Schizosaccharomyces pombe: one gene and its partners. Changing the gene in region 2 together with the main gene of any one other region gives a genetic interaction. Each region holds a gene or a part of one and is shown on either strand. Other genes may lie near its edges. The genes, in order: SPOM_SPAC12B10.01C, trm8, pus1 and trm82.

Region 1 (7,430 bases), on a different chromosome or scaffold from region 2:
CATTTTAAAAGCTAGTTGACCCTAAATGTGATTTATCAATAGAATCAATAATCTCAATCATTTAATAAGAGGGTAGATTTGATCAAATTCTAGTTGTATGAAATTACAATTCGCAAAAATTGACTGAAACAACCAAGGGTTGGGTAAATCTATGGTGGTATAATGGCTTCATTCTTACCTACTCCACTTACGAACCTCCATCTTCTTAAATTTCACAGTAGAAGGTAATTGTAAAAGAAATATTGTGACAATAAATTTTAAAAAGATTAGCAAAAAAGAATATTTAATTACATAAAAATGTCGAATGTGCAACGTAAAAGAATTGATATTCGTCGTCCCACCCTTGCGGAGCTGTCGAGTATTCGATCGATTGCCATGAATGCGTTGAACGGTCAATCGAGAAATCTCTCTCAAAAAATCTTTTGGCACCCGTTGTATCTTGCGGTTTTTGGTTTGGTGTTTATGGGGATATATCGCTTAACAAACATGGTAGAAGGAAATACAAAATTACGAACTTTTGTTTTATTAATATTGGTTAGCGCTGTCTTTTTGACGTTGATTGAATTTCCCTGTAGAAATGTGTATGCAAAGATTAGCACTGAAGACAATCAACCTGACGGCTGCTTGGCTGAAGAGAATCTTAAACATTTTTATATGGCCCGCATTGACAAAGAACGAGTTATTGGTATTATAGGTATCTTGCCTGCAAATGCTCCTGGTGCATACCAAAACACACCAACTATTGTCCACTGGACTGTCATTCCTAAATTTTATCAGTATGCGTTTGATCTCCTAGATTCAGCACTTCGTGAGGCGAAGGAGATGGGTGCTGACGTGGTCTCAGCACGAGTTTATTCAACCGACCCAATGTTGAAGGCTTTTGAAAGAAAAGACTTTACTCCTGTAGTTGATGAAGCTTTCGATTATCTATCGTTTTTCGGATTGCGCCGTTTAGTGCTTCAAAAGAATTTGAGCGAACAACCTGGTTTTGAAAATAGAAGATAGATTATTTAACTTTCCGCAAATATTACCCTTTCGTGCATGTAATTGCGCAGCTACAACTTGTTTTTCGCTGTATGTTCATATTTTAAATCTTTTTGTTTTGTGTTTATTTTTTTCGTGAAATAGTTACGAAAGAATTTCACGACGTTCAAGTAAATTTCTACCTAGGGCAAAAACTAGACCCACCGTGTTGTTGAATAATTGTTAAAAGTTTTAGAAACTATTTCATTACGTCCGCTCCATGTTCAAGAGTTCGTACCCGCTAGACTGTACAAAACAATTTGAATGTAAACTTAATATTATATAACTGATGTATGTTAGTGAATACTAAGTGAGCATCTCATTTCACTATCGTCAATTATGCTTGTAAAAACACAATCGATCGACTACAAAAGTACGTTTAACGAGTGTGAATCAAAGCTGAATCAATAAATAAAATACAGCATCTTGCAAATAAAAAACAAATTTAAAAATATTTAATGACAGTAAAAGACAGAAAAAAACAATAGTACTTAGAGTAATAACGTATTACTATAACACATACTACGGCAACATAATGGTGCGCCCTTGTTGTCGACGCTTTTGCCATCTCCCTATGTCAACAGCACATTCCGCCTTAAACAAGAGATCATAGAAGGATCAAATTAAAACTGGGATTTTGTCTCCTTGGTTCAGAAATTACTTGATTGTTTTGTTGGATTGTAATTAACAATCACTCCAATCGCTCGCCGAAAGGCTTCCAAATTTTGTTTATTAAATTAGCCTTTCTGAGCGACATTTTGTTATTTCATGTCTGTTCAAGCGTATACGAATACTCCGAATTTACCGAATTTAATACATAGTGAATCTATAACCAACTCACCTGTGTTTATACCAAACCTACGAAGTAAGTCCGACAACAAACATAGATTAAACACTTCTGAAGAATTGCCATTTACAAAGAAACGCAGAGCAACTAAACATTTTTTAAAAATGGAGGTATCTGCCAAAATTTCTGAACCACCTTCTAGTAAAAGTGTGGAATTTGGAAGGCATTTAAATATGCGGCATGATTTTTCCGAATTGCTTGAACAACCACTTACAACGAGCAAAACTAGGGTCTTTAAATCCTTTAATGAAAAGCTCAAAGGTAAACCCCAGTTAGTGAAATCCGATAAAGGTGTGTTGCCTCTTAATAAGCAATCGGATATACTGAATTCTTATGAACGCGTTTTAAGCAATGCTTCGGTTGATTCTGCATTAGACAAAAAGGCGGAAGTTGATATCATTCCATTTGATAAATCAGTTATGGAACCAAAGAACATAACTTTTAATGACAAAAGTGGCTTAACCAAGTTTGGGAATTCAAACTCTTATGAAACTACGTATTCTGACTCCAGCAACTATCATACTTCTACTGATTCGTCCCAATATAATGACCAAGATGACCACGTCTATGATGATACTAATGATGGAACTGATGATGATATAAATAATAACGAGTACAAAGACGATGAATCCAGTAGTGGCAGTGAAAGTTATGAAAGAGATGAAGATGTTGATGAAGAGGAGGAAGAAGACGATGATGAAAACAATGATGAGGGAGACGATGAAGATGAAAATGAAAATGACGAGTTAAGAAGCGAAAACGGTTCACCTAATCCTTCAGCCGCTGTTATTAATGAACAAGAAAACATGAACATGAGTGGAATCGAAGAATACGATGAAACTAACTTGTTAAATGAACTGGGAAGAATCAGAAGAGGTAATCAGTTTCAAAGTTTAGCGTCTTCTATACTTTCTTCCGGTAATTTGGAGAACTCTGATGACGAAGATGTTTCTTTAGGTCCACAGACATACCGTTTCAATAGTTCCTTTCATCCTTTTCGTTCTGCATTTTCTGCTCCAGGTGTTCAATTTGGACGCTTGTTAGAAGGAATAAAGGATTTTAGTGATCCTACTGTTCAAATGCTTTCTCTTCAAGAACTTTCCGAAGCGTTTGCTATGAGTACTGAAGATATGCTTGTTGGATTGTTTTCAACCGATTCATACATTGCGGCTTTTTCCGAAATCTTATCTGGGCGAAATTATGATTTCGGAGAAGTCTCTATTCAACTTATGCTATCCTGTACTACCTGTGTATCTAATATGATGGAAGCTTTGCCTTTATGTATGGCTAAAATAGCATATAGTCCTATTGTTCGCATTCTGTGTGAAAGAATGTTTGATATGCAATACATTGATATTGCTGAACAAGCTTTAGGAGTTTTAGAACGGCTTTCTAAAGATTTTGGTATTTGTATTTTGGAACACAGAGGAATGTTAGCTGCTCTCCAATACTTTGATTTTTTTTATACTACAGTTCAACGGACAGCTATTTCTCTGGCTGCTAATTGCTGTAAGTTTTTGGATGAATCCAATGCTTCCGCAGCAGAAGAAATTATTCCATTGCTTTCTAATATTCTACAATCTTCTGATACCATAGTCGTTAGTAAGGCATATTCTTGCCTGGAGACAATTATTGAATCTTTGAAAACTTCACCAAACATAATTGAAACGATAATTTCCGAGGATTTGATCACCACTATTGTCAATGCTTTGACTAATTCTACCTCACAAAATAAGTCAATGCACTTACAAGTGCAGCTATTACATATAATATCATCTTTGTGTCAGTCATCTTCTGCTTTGATTTTACCTTTTCTTAACCATAATTTGCCGGATGTGATGTACGAAATGCTGTGTGGAATACCACCTTCTGATACATCCCATCAGGCTGATATGATTACAATGCAAAGTTTGTATTATTGTCCGATCGAGTTAATAGAAAACTTGTTAAGAGCTATAACTTCTTTGCTTCCTAAAAACACTAGTAACTTGTCTGATGAATTTAACACGAAACTATATCGATTAAACAGTATACTCTTAACTGTTGTAATGGACATTTATTTTATTGTGCCCCTTCATGATATCCGATCGTTAGCTGTGACTACGGCATTGAAAATGTTATGTTCAATTAGGGAAAATAATTTAGATGGCTTAGTTTGTTCTCTTCCTTTATCATCATTCATTGCTTCAATTTTAAATTCACGCAAATCTGACAATTTCTTGAAGCGAGATGCTTTAGAAATGTGTCTATTTTTGCTTGAAGCACTTCCTAATGTTTATTCTTCGTTATTTATACGAGAAGGCGTTGTACAGGAGGTTGGATTTTTAGTTCGCTCTACCAATGCAGACATGAAGAAAATAAAGTTAAGTATTTCCTTTTCACAAAACAAATCTGCTGCTCGTCATGAGGAGTTGAAGAATTTATCGACGTTAAAGAGCCTTGCCAAGGAGTTTCTCTCTAATTATAAGGAAGAAAATTTAGAAAACTCAACATTAGTTCAACTTAAACAATTGTCTAAACATTTATTAAGTGAGACCAAACAAGACGAATCTTTTTCAGAACTAGCCAAAATATTTCAAGAAGGATCTAATATTACTAGTCATGAATTACTTCATTCTGGATTAATTCATAATTTGCTTTTATCACTCAAAAAATTTGGAAGTTCATCTCTTCGAACATTTTTGTTAGCTATGAATACATGTGATGAACGCGAAGTTTTAGAATTTGGTAATGGTCCCTTAGTTTCACTTATCTTTTGTTTGCAAAATCTACTTTCAACTGTTGAGAATTTTCAACTTTCAACGTTACCCCCAGATACTGAGAATGCGGTAGATCATGTTTTTTCGCGGCAGTTTAAACTTCGTTTAATGGCTCTTCCGGGATCAAGAATTCGACCACCTTTCCGATCTCTTGTCGTTTCTATTAATGGGCTAGCTACTATTCGTACACTTGATAATTATCTTCACAGTCGCATTTCTGTGCGTAATGAAACTGGACGTCGTTTTTCAATCCTCCGCGAGGCCGGTTCTTTGAGGGAGTCAATGAGTGGATCATCTCGTAACTCTTCAGGAGACTATACTGACTCAATGTCTCAAGATGCTCCTAATCACACAACAGAGCCATCAGAGCGACGTGACTCCTCGACATCATCACATTTCGAGGAACATTTTGTATTCAGTTTGATGGGTAAAAAGGTACCCCGAAACAAAACAATATTCAGAATTTTATATGAGTATATACAGTTGTCTGACGATCATACTCTCGATGATTTTTGGAAAACTCCTGTCCCAATATTTTATGGTGAGCCTGATTGCATTCACAATGATATGAAAGGGGAGTTAAACTATGAGAATGAAACAGAGGGATTTTCTATAAATATTAGAGAAATATTGGATTTATTGAGTATTTTGTATTATGGGATTAGAGACGTTCATACCCTCTTTCCTGACAAACATTTCCGTGGCAACATTGAAAACATTCTTACAGATTTTAGCAACTGGAAGTTGAGTGCCAAATTGAATAGACAACTTGAAGAGCAACAACTTGTTGTTCACGGTTGTTTACCCTCCTGGTGTATATCACTAACCTCTGCATATCCATTCCTAGTACCGTTTGAAACTCGATATCTTTTATTGCAATCTACTGCTTTTGGTTTATCAAGATCCGTTTCTTTTCTTTTGTCCCGAAATCCTGAGCTATCAAAAAACGAAAGTTCCTCCATACTTCAATTTGTCAGCTTACATCGCCAGAAAATTCGTATTTCTCGGAAAAAAATATTTAATTACGCTTTGCATTTGCTTGCAACTTATGCGGCTTCTGAAAATATTCTTGAAATAGAATACGAAGATGAAGTTGGTTCAGGTCTTGGGCCCACTTTGGAGTTCTATACTTCAGTATCTAAAGAATTTACCTTAAATTCTCTCGATATTTGGCGGAATGATCAACCCAACTCTAAATTTGTGTACCAAGCGTCTGGACTTTTTCCTTCTCCTATTCCATTATTAGGGTCCAGTCCAGAAAATGAAAGAAAAATTTCGTTGTTCTTTGCTCTTGGACAGTTCGTTGCACGCTCGATTTATGATTCAAGGATAATAAGCATTCAGTTTAATCCACTTTTCTTTGCACGAAATATACCTTTAACCATTTCCTCTGTAGCGAAAGTTGACAAGGGCTTAGCTAACTCGTTACGATATTTAGAGAAATTAATACCGGGTAAAAACCCTACAAACGCCGAGACGGACATTAAGCTTGAAGACCTTCATCTCGATTTTACTCTACCGGGATTTCCGTCTATTGAACTCATACCTGATGGAGCTAGTACACCTGTGACAACATTCAATGTGAGTGATTATTTAAATTATGTCATTGACTATACTGTTGGAAAGGGTGTTCAACAACAATTAGAAGCATTTCAAAATGGGTTTTCCAGCGTTTTTCCTTATACTTCTTTGCAAGTTTTGACAGAACATGAATTGGTCACACTATTCGGTACTGTCGATGAGGATTGGAGTTACGCGACCTTGATGAAATCTATAGTAGCAGATCACGGTTACACCATGGAAAGTCCTACAATCCAGAGATTACTGACTTTGATGAGTCAAATGAATTTTCAAGAACAAAGAGACTTTTTGCAATTTATTACTGGAAGCCGAAAACTTCCTATTGGAGGATTTGCTGGCCTAAATCCCCCGTTAACTGTTGTTAGGCGCTTAAATGAACCTCCTTATGTACCTGATGATTATCTTCCAAGCGTGATGACTTGTGTGAATTATTTGAAACTACCTGAGTATTCTTCAAGTGAGGTTTTAGGAAGTCGACTTTCTAAGGCTATTTTAGAAGGACAGGGCAGTTTTCATTTATCCTAAGCATTGTTTAGAAAAAAAAAGTTATTGTATAGCACTTCAGTAGCGTTCTATGATTACTTCAAAATAGAGGCTATGTACAAATATAAAGCGAAAAAGAATTGGTAATTTATTATAGAATGGGTAACTTCGTACTCCCCTTACAATGTAAAGTAGCATAGCGAATGAAATTCATTAGAAACTTATGCATTGAGTAAGAATTTTATATTTAACTCATGAAAATAAATAACCACCTGCTTCCAGAAAGTGTTGGTGAACAAGATACAAATTTTTAAAGACAATGAAGACCCTGTAACATATAACAAAAGTCGCCAAATGCTAATAATTAACCAATGAGGAAAAATGTTAGACCAACGAATAGCAGTAGGGTAAAATGATTATTTAGCATTCTTTGAAACTTTTTGAATATTTTGAGAAACGGTATGAATAGTCGATCCTTTCCTATTAAGATTTCGCTTACGCTGATCTCCAAATTGATAACTGAGATTCTCCAGCTCGTTTTTTACATTTTCTGCTGAAAACTCTGAACGCCTTTGTTGTCCATTAATGTCTTTGCGTATTGGTTTAGCAGTAGACTGTTGTACATTATTCATCGGGCGATTTGAGCTAATTCGAGAAATTAAATCTAAGTATGAATACATAAAGTTACTTAAGAGAACTTGTTGAAACAATGGGCGATGCGCGTTTGACAACTTTAT
Region 2 (3,837 bases):
CGTATGAGCTAACTCACGTAAAATCATTCAATTTTTAGATACGACAACCTCTTTGCTTGTTTATTTTTGAAATACTAAATTGCTTGCTTCAGTCTTTATAAATAAAAGTATAATCATTAGATTTCATGATTAGCATAGAATATAAAAGAAAAACATCACTAGCAAGGAACATTTTTCAAATTAAAATTCAAAAACAAATCGTTACAAAAAGATGCAATTTATAAAAAAAAAATGAAAGTACACACACACGGTTAAAGAGTCAAAAAGAAGAATTTAATTTTATTTTGCTCAAGCTTATAAGAATCTGTAAAAAAAAGTTAGTAAATTATTCAAATAATAAGATTTCATGGAAAAGCACTTGAAACAATAGAAATATTCAGAGATCGGATTTGGCTTCCGGGTCAATCGTCACAGATTTCGGATAGGGGCGACACAAATTGCTCATCATAGTAATATTTTTAACATTGTTTCAGCGTTTTAAAACTCAAGTTGAAATTACTTACATTCTGTTTTGTAATTGACAAACCACCTCTTGTTATGAGCTTCTACTTATATAATCCTTGGACAGTCACAACCCTGCCCTAGTATACTGTTAAAGAATGTCAAATAGTCATTAAAAATTATTGAAATTTCGATCATTTAGGTTATTGAAGTATTATGTAGCAAGTAATAATATAGTATCTTGAAAATACTTAAGAGAGCTGTAGGTCATATTACCGTACAAATTGATTTTATTTCAAAATCCCAAAAATTCGGCACTTAACATGTAAAATTACTCCTTTTGCAAATTTACTAGATTTCTTGTTTTATTTAGCATTCATAATATATTGCCATGGAGTTAAAAGGATAGTTGCAAAGAGCTCTCTTATTTACGGAGCCAGCTTGAGGATAGGTACGGATTTTGTAAATGAGTAGTTAAACAGTAAGTCAATGCGAAAGTGTAATGATGTTAGCGATAAATGTTAATTTAGTTATTTTAAACCTATATTATTCAGCCCAATTATTAAGTTATTTTGGATTTGGAATGCGCTCATAACATGCAACAAATTTCTTTCCGCCATTACGTGCAACCTTTTTCCCTTCCTCTGTTTCGTTTGTCATCAATGTAACACATATATCGTTTTCTTCTTCTTCTTTTGTGAATCGTCGAAACAAGGGATGCGCGTCGAGATGTTGAGCCATCCAAACATGTAGCTCTTCCACGTCTGTAATGGTATAAAGCGTTCCATGGGGTCGAATGAAATAAGCATACTCACTTGCCAAAGTACTTGTGATAATTCTATTTTTATGTTTACGAGCCTTGAAGTGAGGATCTGGAAAGCAGAAAAACATTTTTGAGAGTTGCCCTTTTTCGAAGAAATTTGGAAGGAACTTTTGGCAATTCATACGAAGAACAGAAATGTTTTTGTATCCCCCTGGAACCGGCTCTTCATGATCTGCACGATAACGCAATGCTTGTATCTTTTCTTTCAAATAGTCTGAAACTTGCATCCGGATTTCCATGCCTAAAACTAATGTATCAGGAAACTGGGGACCAAGTGCAACAGTAAGACCCCCGTAGCCGCATCCTATGTCTACGATCTCGACCTTTTTGTTAGATTCAACATCAAAATCAGGATAATAAGGACTCCAATCCATTTCAGACGGACTTCTTGGACTGCGAGAGTTAGCAACAACCAAATTTTTAAAAATAAAATAGAAGGTAATCCCAAATTATATAAAAAATATATGTAAAAAGAGTTTATCGGTCACAGTTCTCAGCCAAACACAACTACTGTATATAAACTTACTACTCAAGTTCATGATCCGAAAGGACATTTGCATGCGCTCTTTGACGAAACAAACGTTTCTGTAAACAATATTAGTTAAAAGTCAATACACAAGATAATTTTGTATGAGAACATACCATGGGCAATCGCCCCTCCACACCTCCTTGCTTGGACAAACGTTTCAGCTTCTTCCTTGCCTCCTCTTCTTCCCTTTGCAATTGTGCTGCAGATTTTTTGGCTGTAGCAGACATTTTCTCTCTTTAGTTGAGCACACGAAAACCCCAAAAGGTAAAGGTTTAGTAAACTAGCTGTGCTGTAGTAAAAATTTGACTGAGACCAAAAAATTTGTATTCAAATCAGCTCAGTGTAAAATTTATCTAAGCGAGAAAACTAAAAGAGATATTTGAATGACTTAGTAAAATTTATACTTTAAACATTTCATAAAAAGTAATTAAACTTGTTCAGTGCGCAAGTTCACGCTTCGCTTTTTAATTATTCAAATTGGGTTTGAAAAAGGGAAATGTTATGTTACCTAATAATTTAGAAGTACATTGTAAATATATATAAAAATTTGCTCATATTCTATCTAAATATGCAAAACAAATTGAGGTAGAAGAAAGACATGCATTCAAATGCGTCCAATTCACCAGTAAGCATTTCGTTGTTACATGCACACTAAACTAACCTCAAACAATACAGGTACAATAACGCAAATCTAGTCATTACTTGAGAGCACCAGCACTCTTAGCGGCGCCTAGAATAAGTTCGGTGATCTCATCCATCCCAACTTGATTTTTGACTTGTGCAAAAACAATGGGTCCATTCTCACGAATCTTTTTTGCATCACGATCCATGACCGACAAATCAGCACCGACCAACTTAGCTAGATCTGTTTTGTTGATAATCAACAGATCTGACTCCGTGATACCAGGTCCACCCTTACGTGGAATCTTGTCGCCTCCAGATACATCAATTACATAGATAATGAAATCAGCGAGATCACGAGAGTAATTTGCAGCTAAGTTATCACCTCCTGACTCCACGAGTAGTAATTCTGTGTTGAACTCGGATTGCAACTCCTCCAATGCGACCAAATTACCGGAGACGTCTTCACGAATAGCAGCGTGTGGACAACCGCCTGTTTCGATTGCGCGAATTCTCTCTTCGGGAAGTGCCTTGTTACGAATTAAAAATTCTTGATCTTCACGAGTAAATATGTCGTTGGTAACAACTCCGATGCTATATTTTTCACCCAAGAGCCTGCAAAGCTGAAGCAAAAGTGCAGTTTTACCAGAACCGACCGGTCCTCCGACGCCAATGGTAAAGGCACGACGAGAGAAGTCTCTATGATTGAACTGAGGAAGTTCACGCTTCAAGTAGCTGCCAGGCGTTTCCATAGCATCGTGAGAATGGCCATGCTCTTGGATGAACTGCAATCTGGCAGCTTCGCTGGAAGAGTTGGAAGATGAATCATGGCTGTGATGATCGTGACCATGATGATCATGGTTATGATGGTCGTAATCGTGTGTATGGTGATGAGTCGAGTCATCAGAACCTCCCTTGTGAAGAAAAGGAATCGCCATGTTTTGAATTAGAAGAATGTGAAATAAATCTACGCAAGTTTTAAAAATTTTGAAAATCCTAGTTTGGCAGATGTGGAAAGTTAGAGGAAACCAAAAAGTAAAGTTATACCAAGCTTCCAAATTACCTGATTTGTAAGATTTTATAAGTGTAAATACAAATGAAGGTAAAGGGATAAGAAAAATATTTAATTAATCACGAGAAATTGTAAAACTGATTATATTCGACGTGAAATAAACCAAGGAGGAAATGGGAGTGTTATTGGTGAGGCAGATTTGCTATTTACTATTGTAGATAAAAGGTGCGCTACACTAATATCGAAATTTCGGTCGTTAGCATTATCCACAATTGAGTTACTTAAGAAATTGAAATCCAAGCAAACTGTAAGGCACTTGACATTTTCAAGAAGGTTGGGGAAGGTCATTTATTTGATAAGAGAACAAGCGCCATTGAAACTGTTTACAATTTATAACGCCTAAATAGTTTT
Region 3 (4,192 bases), 1.2 Mb from region 2:
AGCAATGCGGTGTTTTGCTTCCTAATGGGCAAATGTGCGCCAGATCTCTCACATGTAAAACGCATTCAATGTCAAGCAAACGAGCCGTTCCGGGAAGATCTCAGCCATACGATGTTTTGCTTGCAGCTTGTCAAAAGAAAAACCAAGTAAAAATACAACGACAAATCCTCGAAACTGCAAAAGAATCCGAAGATAATCAGCATCAAGCGCCTGTTGATTCTGATGAAGAAGTCAGTTTCATTATGAATGTTCTCCAGAAATCTGGCAATCAGCCTTTGGAGCAAAAAGTTTTTTTACCCGTAAAACGTCGCCATTCGTATTTTCGTACTAGAGAGTTAATAGCTGCTGCATTTCGACATGGTGAGCAGGGTATGCAAGTTACTGGTACTATATTGGGACGAGTGATTCCTTTTAGTGCCCGCCAACCACTATAAAGAAATTCTTTTGATTTTGCTTCGGTTGATGATTTAAATTCTTTATGAGATTATAGTTTACATTTTGGTCTACTTGACCACGCATTTTCGACTTTTTAATTTTCTCCTCCGTTCATCTAGTTTCTATTTCATTAATTTTTTCATTTTTTATTTTGTATATTGCACCATACGGTCTTAACATTTGGAATAATCAAGTAGAAGTTAATAAACTATAAAAATACCAATAGAACCCAAAACCAATAATCAATTCTAAAAAAAAGAAAGAAACAAGTATTCTCCAAAAATATATGTACACGTTTGTAGTCTAATTTTTTAAAAGAAACAGCAAAGTTTATGGTATCAGTTTGTTGCAAATCCTCAGTCTCACAATCAATCCTTTAGCCCTCTAAATCATCCTTGTTTTCAGCCGAATCTTCTTCTTCATCGCTAGAAAGAACATCAGGCAATTTTGAGGAAACCTCTTGCGTCTTTTCAGTAATGCCTATATCTGATAAATAACTGAAATCTTCTTCATTATAACTGTCAATAAAAGACAAAAAACAATGAAATCTAAACCGGTTAGTTAATTTAAGAAAAAAATATACTTACACTTGTTTACGAGCTTCTTCGAGAAAAATTTTATCATAAATATGAGCATGCTTAAAAGCAGTAATTTTTTGCTCGTACTTTGTAAAGTCGATAGGATCACGATTATTCTCTGGAGCTTTATGTTCATTATAACCTTTAAAAAACGGTGACTCTAATAAAAGTCCAAAACCAGGTCCCTTGGGTATGTTAATTTTTGTTTTTTTAAAGGCATCTTGTATGCGCTCAACAGGACAACCCGTTCGTACAACTAAAATAGCAAGCGCAATCATCTTTCTAATTTGGTGCAACATAAAAGATTGACCATGAACTTTACATGAAATCCATTCTGTATCGCCAATCATGAATGGATCAGATGCCTAGAATGTTAGAAACAAGACTTGTCAAGAATACTATAAATACAAAGAAGATAATTCTTACTTACAGTAAAAGAACGGATCACGCGATTACTATTCTTCTGATGAAATGCTTGCCCCACAGTAAAATTGTGAAAGTTATGAACTCCAACATATTGGTTTAAAGTTTCTCGAATAACGGACAGCCTATCTGCGGAAATACGGTAATTTTTTAATTTAAGTACTTCAATGTGCTTAAGTGCACGTTCGAGACGATAACTGGGATCAATCTTGGAACCAGCAGATTCGTCTTCAACAGAGTCAGGCTTTAAAAACTCGTTTACAATAGCAGAGGAATCGGAATCCATATCTGGATTAGTTTTAGCGGAAACTCCTGCTTCAGAGCCCTTATTATTTTCCGAATTAGCAAGAGCAGCAGCTCCCCTTTTAGAATATGGATTTACGAAGCCTTCAGGATCCTGTTCATAAAGGCTCAAAATCTCTTTGGCTGCAATATCATAATCATCCCAAAATTCCTTTCCTTCTTCATAAAATAATGAACGACTGAGTTGATTTATATTTTCCTTGTTAATTGGCTCAGCAGGCATGGGAGAATTCTTCATAATGCAATTTCCAAGTATGGACGAAGGTTTCGGTGGAACAAAAGCATACGTTGGAACCATATATTCATATATACGAGATTCGCAATAAGTCCTTGGGTTAAAAGAATTAATAGTACGGATCACATCCCATAAGCGAATGGAAGGAGGGAGGTGTTCGTTCACTTTTTCAATTAACTTCTCATCTTCCATTATAAGTTTGAGACTGATAACATTTCCAGCGGCATGAACTCCTTTATCAGTTCTTGCGGCTCTTGCTAAAGCAACTTTCTTTGGGTCATCAGCGTTATAAGAAGAAACGGCACCAGCCTTCACAAAAGCATCAAAAAGATCTCCTTCGATTGTTTTACTAGGAGGATTCAATTGCATACCATGATATCCGCTACCACAATAACCTACAAGACAGGCGACCTTTCTTTTCGGCTTTTTTTCTCCAACTACCAAATTCTCTGGCCGACCTTCTCCATTGTATATAGAATTAGGTCGGTTCCTTTTCGCTTCTCGACGATCACCATTGTACCAAGTGCGTTTACCACCACGTCCCATGCTGTAGTTAATATTATTTGTTTTTGATGAAAACGCAATTTACGCTGCACAGGTAAAAATTCATTTAAACATAGTAGAGTATATTTTCTTAATAATGAAATGCAAGGAATCGTTATTCATTCAATAAGATAAGAGTATAATTACACGATGGTTCACTAAACAATTATAAAACAATATACTTCGCTTACCTTAAGTTAAAAGTTTTAAGAATTAAAAAGCTAAATATTGTATCGCATTTCGAGCAAAAACAGATTGATGAAGCATTCAAACCAAAAAAAAATAATCAGCCTGAAAAAGGAATGACTTAAGACTGACTATTAATTGTTGCTTATTCTCTGTCTCTGTGTTTTATCTTTTGTTACCAGTTGTCGAAGTAAAGGCCAAATTGAAACCCGTGACTAATCCTTCCAATAACTAAGAAAAGTATACCTATTATCAATTTTATATCAAAAATCTAGTCCTTTTCATCGTTCATAAACCTCATTTTTTATTTTTTTCTTCCACACGTTACGAACAAAACCGCAAATTGTCAGCAATACTACACTAAGCTATGATATATTACGTTGCGTTTCACTATATGTCACATGTTCTAATTATATATCGTACCATGTATGATACGATATTGATATTGATCTTAATTAAAATCTATTAATATGTATATTATCTGAATACTATAAATAGAGCTACTGCTGAACCTCGTTCCTCAGTTCAGTTATGAGCTATATTAGTGATAGGTAACATTATAACCCAGTTAATACAATACCTATACTCAGTTGCTACTTATACAACCTGTGTATTGTAATATAATAGATCACAAGGAAAACTCACCGCAGTTCTACGTATCTTTAAATCAGATACCAAACTGCGTAGCCGACACAAATGAACTATAACGAACTAATATTAGTTGCAACTTACGACGGCTTTACTTGAGCTCTTTAAATTTAACGTATTCGCAACAATCACAGTGCGTGTAAAACACCCACTAGAATGTTGACACCATTGTGCATTTTATTATTTTTCTCAAATATTGGAATTGGTGCTTAATAACTCATATTGGTATATCAATATATTAAATTATTTGACATTTAAGATACTAATGAAATAGTTATTTCATTCGTGTGCTTTAGCCGTTATCATCGGACGGTTTACATAAAATATCAGCGTTTTTATAATTACGCGTGCTTCTTTTTTCTTTTTGTCGTATTTAAAAAGCCAAGGAAATTGTTTTTGATAATCTGTTTTTTACATGGAAAACGATGAACAAATAGATGAGACAGAAGTATGACCAATATGGACTGGTAGACGCAGGTGTTTTGAAATTATTATGCTGACGATTGTTTAAAGAATTTTGCAATTGGAAAATATGCCATTTTATTTGTGATTGAAGTTTCTCCCAGTATGCTTGATCCTGTCGATGAATTTACTCCCAGCTCTTTGCAGATGGCACTTATTTGTGCGTACCAGCTGGCGGCTCAAAGAGTAATCACAAATCCCAGCGACATAATGGGTGTATTGCTCTATGGTACTGTAAGTTTAATGCTGCATTTAAATTCACCGACGTTTACTTCTGCCATTAAATGTCTCTAACCACAGCGCAGGAGTCCTCTACGGGCCGATTCGCAAATCAAATGATGCTTTTAGACATTGATCCTCCTGATGCTGAACGTATTAA
Region 4 (4,376 bases), 1.0 Mb from region 2:
TTAAACACTCTAATTTTTTGCTGAACGCTTGTATACAATTAAACTCTTTGAATCATTAAATTATTTTTGTACTCAGTTCACTAACTTTATTTTAGACTAAGGCTTTCCTTGCTGATCCCTCTGCTTTCGTAGTCGCCGCTGCTCCTGCTGCTGCTGCTGGTGGTGAAGCTGAGGCACCCGCTGCCGAGGCTGCTGCTGAAGAGGAAGAGGAATCCGATGAGGACATGGGTTTCGGTCTCTTCGACTAAGCTTTTTTTGTTAGATAGCACTAATGGATGTATCTCGTGTTCTTTAGGCCTTCTAAAAACAATTTGCCGTTGCAAGTATTATGTAAAGTATTGTCGTAGCATGTAAATGGAAGGAATTGAATAAACGATTAATTTTACTTCTTCAAATTGCTGACGTTGCACAACTGAATAGCAGTTGCACTTATGCAGTAGATACAAGTTGCGTTTATTCGCATAATTATTAATCGCTGACTGTATTTATACTTCAAAATTCTGGGTTTCTCCAAAGAAATTAAATGCTCTCCCTATTATACTTTAATGTCACAATCATTTTTATTCATATCTATTTTCCATATTTACTGATGCTCCCACTTTTCCCAATTATTTTTTTTGAGCCGGTCTCCCTAAAATGAGCTTTAATTATCTTTAGATTCAACGGATGGCGAAGATGTACCGGTTTCAACACTGCGAATGAATTTAGAGTGGTTCTTGCGTAATGTGTGAATTTGAGCGAGCGGGCAGAACGGCTTTTCGGTTGATATTAAACCATCAGATTCTATACGCTTTATTACATCGGGTTTCGTAAGAACAGCCGCATTCCCTTCATCAAATTTCACGCATTCAAAACATGCACCAAATGTAAAACTAGAGTCCAAAGAAATGAGAATTTGATCAGTATCCGTGTCAAGCAAAACAGCGTCAAGAACAGGCCCTGACAGCTTCAAAGCAGAATGAAACAACAGTCTCTTTTCAGGTGTCACCTTCGCGAAGATAAGACCCGCCATTCCTTCACACGCAAAAGCAACAAGCTGGCGCTTAAAAATAGGAAGAATAACTGAAACCACCATTGGTTGATTTAATGAGAGATAAGTGGAAAAGGCAGATCGTAGATCGAATGCATCCAAACATTTGAAATTCTCTAAATCCCATACGAAAACGTGATTATCTCCACCGCCAGATATTAGAGTACGATTGTCATATAAGGACATCCTAGATACAAAACTAGGAAAAGGCGTTAGTGTTATTTAAAAAAAAAAAAAAAAAATTGATCAACTAAAACCAAATGAAAACTTACTCTTCATGACCTAAGCAAAACCCTTCAATGACAAATGCATTGGGAAATCGGGAAATACGAATATGCTCGTCTTTATCTGAAGTAATGATTATTTCTTCTTTAGAATTTTGTGGATTTTGAGCAACTATTAATTGAGTTAAGATCGAAACATGCCCCATAATGGGTTCGAGTTTTTGCAATTTCGAATCCTTTAAAGTGTCATTATTAACAGGTTCTTGTTTTCCTTCAACCACATTTGACTTTTTTTCTTCGGTAACTTCAGAAGTAGTAAACCAATTTTCGTCTACACAATAGACATCACCAAACTTATCACCAAAAACAATTTCGTTTGAGCCCGCAAAGCACAAGTCAGCACATCGCTTTGGTATGTTTTTTTGATAAAGAAGTTCAATTTTATCAGGCTGAGTGCTATCCCAAAGGCGCAAACATTTGTCTTCACTAACTGTTGCCATACGAGAATAGTCTTTAGAAAATGCGACTTGACGAATCGCTTCTCCATAGGCAGCTGCCTCTCTATGTTTTTCATTTATATTGTCTCTATAACAATGTTCAAAAATTTTTTCCCCTGTAGAGCATGAGAACCCCAATAGATATGGACCTGAACAGCACACGATGTAATTGTGTTTAGAATTCCATGTTAAAAATTGACAAGGGTGCTTAAAAACTCGCTGTTCACTCATGTTTTTATTGATTGATTCTTAAGAAAATAGAAGCAACAAAACAAACACTTCAGAAATAAACCTCTAATTTTTGGATCCGAATATATTTACAATTTTATAAAAAGAAGAAAAAGAAGCTTTAGAAGAAAGAAAGTAATAATGACAAATCTTTCAAATAATAAAAAGCAAAGCTTTAAAATTATTTACGCAGTAGAAATGAAGAAAAAGTATGATAAGGGTAAATAATAGACTGAATCCTCTTTCTGCTTAATACCGTTTCCTTACAAATTTATCTAAATAGAGAAATAAAAGAAGTATACACTCAGTTCGAAGCCAAGTATCTCACTTAAGTTAAATAGTTAAAGCGCCCAAAATTTTAGTACGTGGGTGAACTTGGAAAGTACAAACTAGTTGGAAATTTCCTAATAAGAGGATTTCAGCAATATTAGGGTTCCTGGATACTTCTTTTAATACGATTGAATTTATTTTTTTAATATTTCTAATAGTAACAAAAGACTTTTCGTTTTTGAGCGAAAAAAAAAATTCTTAAAAAAACAAGTGATCTAAAGCATATTAAGTCTTAGGCTGTGTGACGCACAGAAAAGGGCGTAAATATGAGGCAAAAAAGGGCAAAGAATTACAGAAAGCTGATGCATACGTATCAGCTTTTATTTGGATTTCGTGAACCATATCAAGTACTCGGTATGTGGTACAGAAAATGATGCTTGTAAAGATGCATCCTTACCCAAGTTCTAATTTGCAAACAATAAGCATTTTCTTTTTGGTGATGTTATTAAACTAACATGATTTTTAGTGGATGCAGATTTCCTAAAAGATTTATCTCAACAAAAGATTGATATACAAGCTGCATTAGCTAGGACTGTTCAAGGAGCTATAAAACCTAGTAAGTTTTGTTTATAAGTGTTTTCTTTTACTGGAAAAAAGGGCGAACCCCCGGAATATGAAACAGAACGGAAAGTTTAATTATTCAACATAGTATCTTTTCATCCGGGTCTGGTTTATTATTTTCTTTCCTTATGTTCTCCTTGTAAATTATTATAACTAACGGATTTACTAACTGACTATAGTGATTACTCAATGTTGTATTCGGCAATTGTACAGTAAATCCGATGAATTGAAGCAAGAAATTCGTATCGCAAAGTCTTTTGAGCGAAGGAGGTGTGGTCATATTGATGAAGCACTCTCTCCTTCAGAATGTATTCAGAGTGTAGTCAACATTAATGGTCGGAACAAGCACCGCTATGTTGTTGCTACCCAAGACCCCGAGCTTAGGCAAGCTCTTCGTTCGGTCCCAGGTGTTCCACTTATATATATGAAAAGGTCAGTTGTGATACTAGAACCAGCTTCACGAGCTACGTTATTAGAAAAGCACAACAAAGAATCCGTTCAGATGGGCATGTCAAAAGAGGAAAAGTTGTTATTATCCGGAAAAAAGCGTTCAGCGAATGAACTGGCTATCGATGATCAAGATACCAAGGAAAGTACGGATTTAGCGGGAACAGAGGATTCTGCTCCAAAAGCCAATAAAAAACGCAAGGGTCCTAAAGGGCCTAACCCTTTAAGCATCAAAAAGAGATCATCAAAAAACCATACAACGGATGAACCTACTTTACCTGTAAACATAATAGGTGATGTTGGTGAAAGAAAAAAACATCGTCGGAAAAGAAAGTAGACTGCTTATTGTTGGAAATTAGCATATGTATATATTTAAAAATAAAATTTTTCGGGATAGGTTTGCCTACAAGTGTTGTCTACTAATATAACGCTATCATACATACAATGTTTCTGATTCAACCCTTCCTGTGTAAACAATACTTTCAACTAACGCTTGTGGCTAAAGAAACGAAGAAAAAAAATTGGGTATAGGCACAATGTAAATATTTACGATGTAATCATCACAAATGTAAAGTTGTAAACCATTTTTCATCTAGATTCAAAGTCGTTTAAAGCGAAAGAGAAAAGGAAGCAATTATCCAAGCGACCTAAAAAAGCAGTTTCAACCAAATTTAGCTTAAAGAGAAAATTGAAATTTTTATTCGACTAAATAAAAGGTTAGATTATCTTAAAAAGATTTCAATCGTTGATATATTAGGGGAGAAACTGTAAGCCCAGTTGTGAATGCTAACGTATTTCAGTAAAAAAAATATCGCAGTTTACTGGCCTAAATACATACTTTGCTAACAGTTTTCTATTAACCCAACAGGACCTTAAATCTCTGCATTCTTTGTATTGAAAAGATCATACTGTTCGTGGATTTGCGCGTTTATGTAACGTTAAACTCGAATAATTTGCATTTGGCGGTCATTTTCGTTCTTGCGATTGATACAGATTCTGAGCTTTAACTAGCGCTTATTTGTATTACAACACCAAAGGAGCATAAATTGTTTTTTCTTG

What was found.
Region 1: mutations in trm8 (region 2) and SPOM_SPAC12B10.01C together harm fitness more than expected from each alone (negative genetic interaction), as found in Schizosaccharomyces pombe (one large-scale study listed by BioGRID).
Region 3: mutations in trm8 (region 2) and pus1 together harm fitness more than expected from each alone (negative genetic interaction), as found in Schizosaccharomyces pombe (one large-scale study listed by BioGRID).
Region 4: mutations in trm8 (region 2) and trm82 together harm fitness less than expected from each alone (positive genetic interaction), as found in Schizosaccharomyces pombe (one large-scale study listed by BioGRID).

The regions. Positions count from the first base shown.
Region 1 is NC_003424.3:4,569,803-4,577,232, reverse strand, and holds SPOM_SPAC12B10.01C (ubiquitin-protein ligase E3), read left to right. Parts: upstream 1-1,589; 5' UTR 1,590-1,791; coding exon 1,792-6,735; 3' UTR 6,736-6,928; downstream 6,929-7,430. Other genes in the region: acetylase Sdg1, read left to right, coding at 298-1,005; zds family phosphatase type A regulator Zds1, read right to left, coding at 7,110-7,430. UniProt on the Schizosaccharomyces pombe protein: E3 ubiquitin-protein ligase which accepts ubiquitin from an E2 ubiquitin-conjugating enzyme in the form of a thioester and then directly transfers the ubiquitin to targeted substrates.
Region 2 is NC_003421.2:950,185-954,021, forward strand, and holds trm8 (tRNA (guanine-N7-)-methyltransferase catalytic subunit Trm8), read right to left. Parts: upstream 2,087-3,837; 5' UTR 2,021-2,086; coding exon 1,907-2,020; exon of another isoform or gene 1,850-1,906; coding exon 1,791-1,849; exon of another isoform or gene 1,658-1,790; coding exon 1,009-1,657; 3' UTR 542-1,008; downstream 1-541. Other genes in the region: ure7 (urease accessory protein UREG), read right to left, coding at 2,492-3,352. UniProt on the Schizosaccharomyces pombe protein: Catalyzes the formation of N(7)-methylguanine at position 46 (m7G46) in tRNA.
Region 3 is NC_003421.2:2,118,993-2,123,184, reverse strand, and holds pus1 (tRNA/U2 snRNA pseudouridine synthase Lsp1), read right to left. Parts: upstream 2,571-4,192; 5' UTR 2,521-2,570; coding exon 1,444-2,520; intron 1,379-1,443; coding exon 1,023-1,378; intron 984-1,022; coding exon 812-983; 3' UTR 555-811; downstream 1-554. Other genes in the region: SAGA complex deubiquitinating submodule subunit Sgf73, read left to right, coding at 1-434; Ku domain protein Pku70 , read left to right, coding at 3,767-3,799, 3,865-4,047, 4,119-4,192. UniProt on the Schizosaccharomyces pombe protein: Formation of pseudouridine at positions 27 and 28 in the anticodon stem and loop of transfer RNAs; at positions 34 and 36 of intron-containing precursor tRNA(Ile) and at position 35 in the intron-containing tRNA(Tyr).
Region 4 is NC_003421.2:1,976,501-1,980,876, reverse strand, and holds trm82 (tRNA (guanine-N7-)-methyltransferase subunit Trm82), read right to left. Parts: upstream 2,357-4,376; 5' UTR 1,983-2,356; coding exon 1,303-1,982; intron 1,230-1,302; coding exon 644-1,229; 3' UTR 512-643; downstream 1-511. Other genes in the region: rpp0 (60S ribosomal protein uL10), read left to right, coding at 96-248; rRNA processing protein Utp23, read left to right, coding at 2,576-2,663, 2,776-2,865, 3,050-3,654.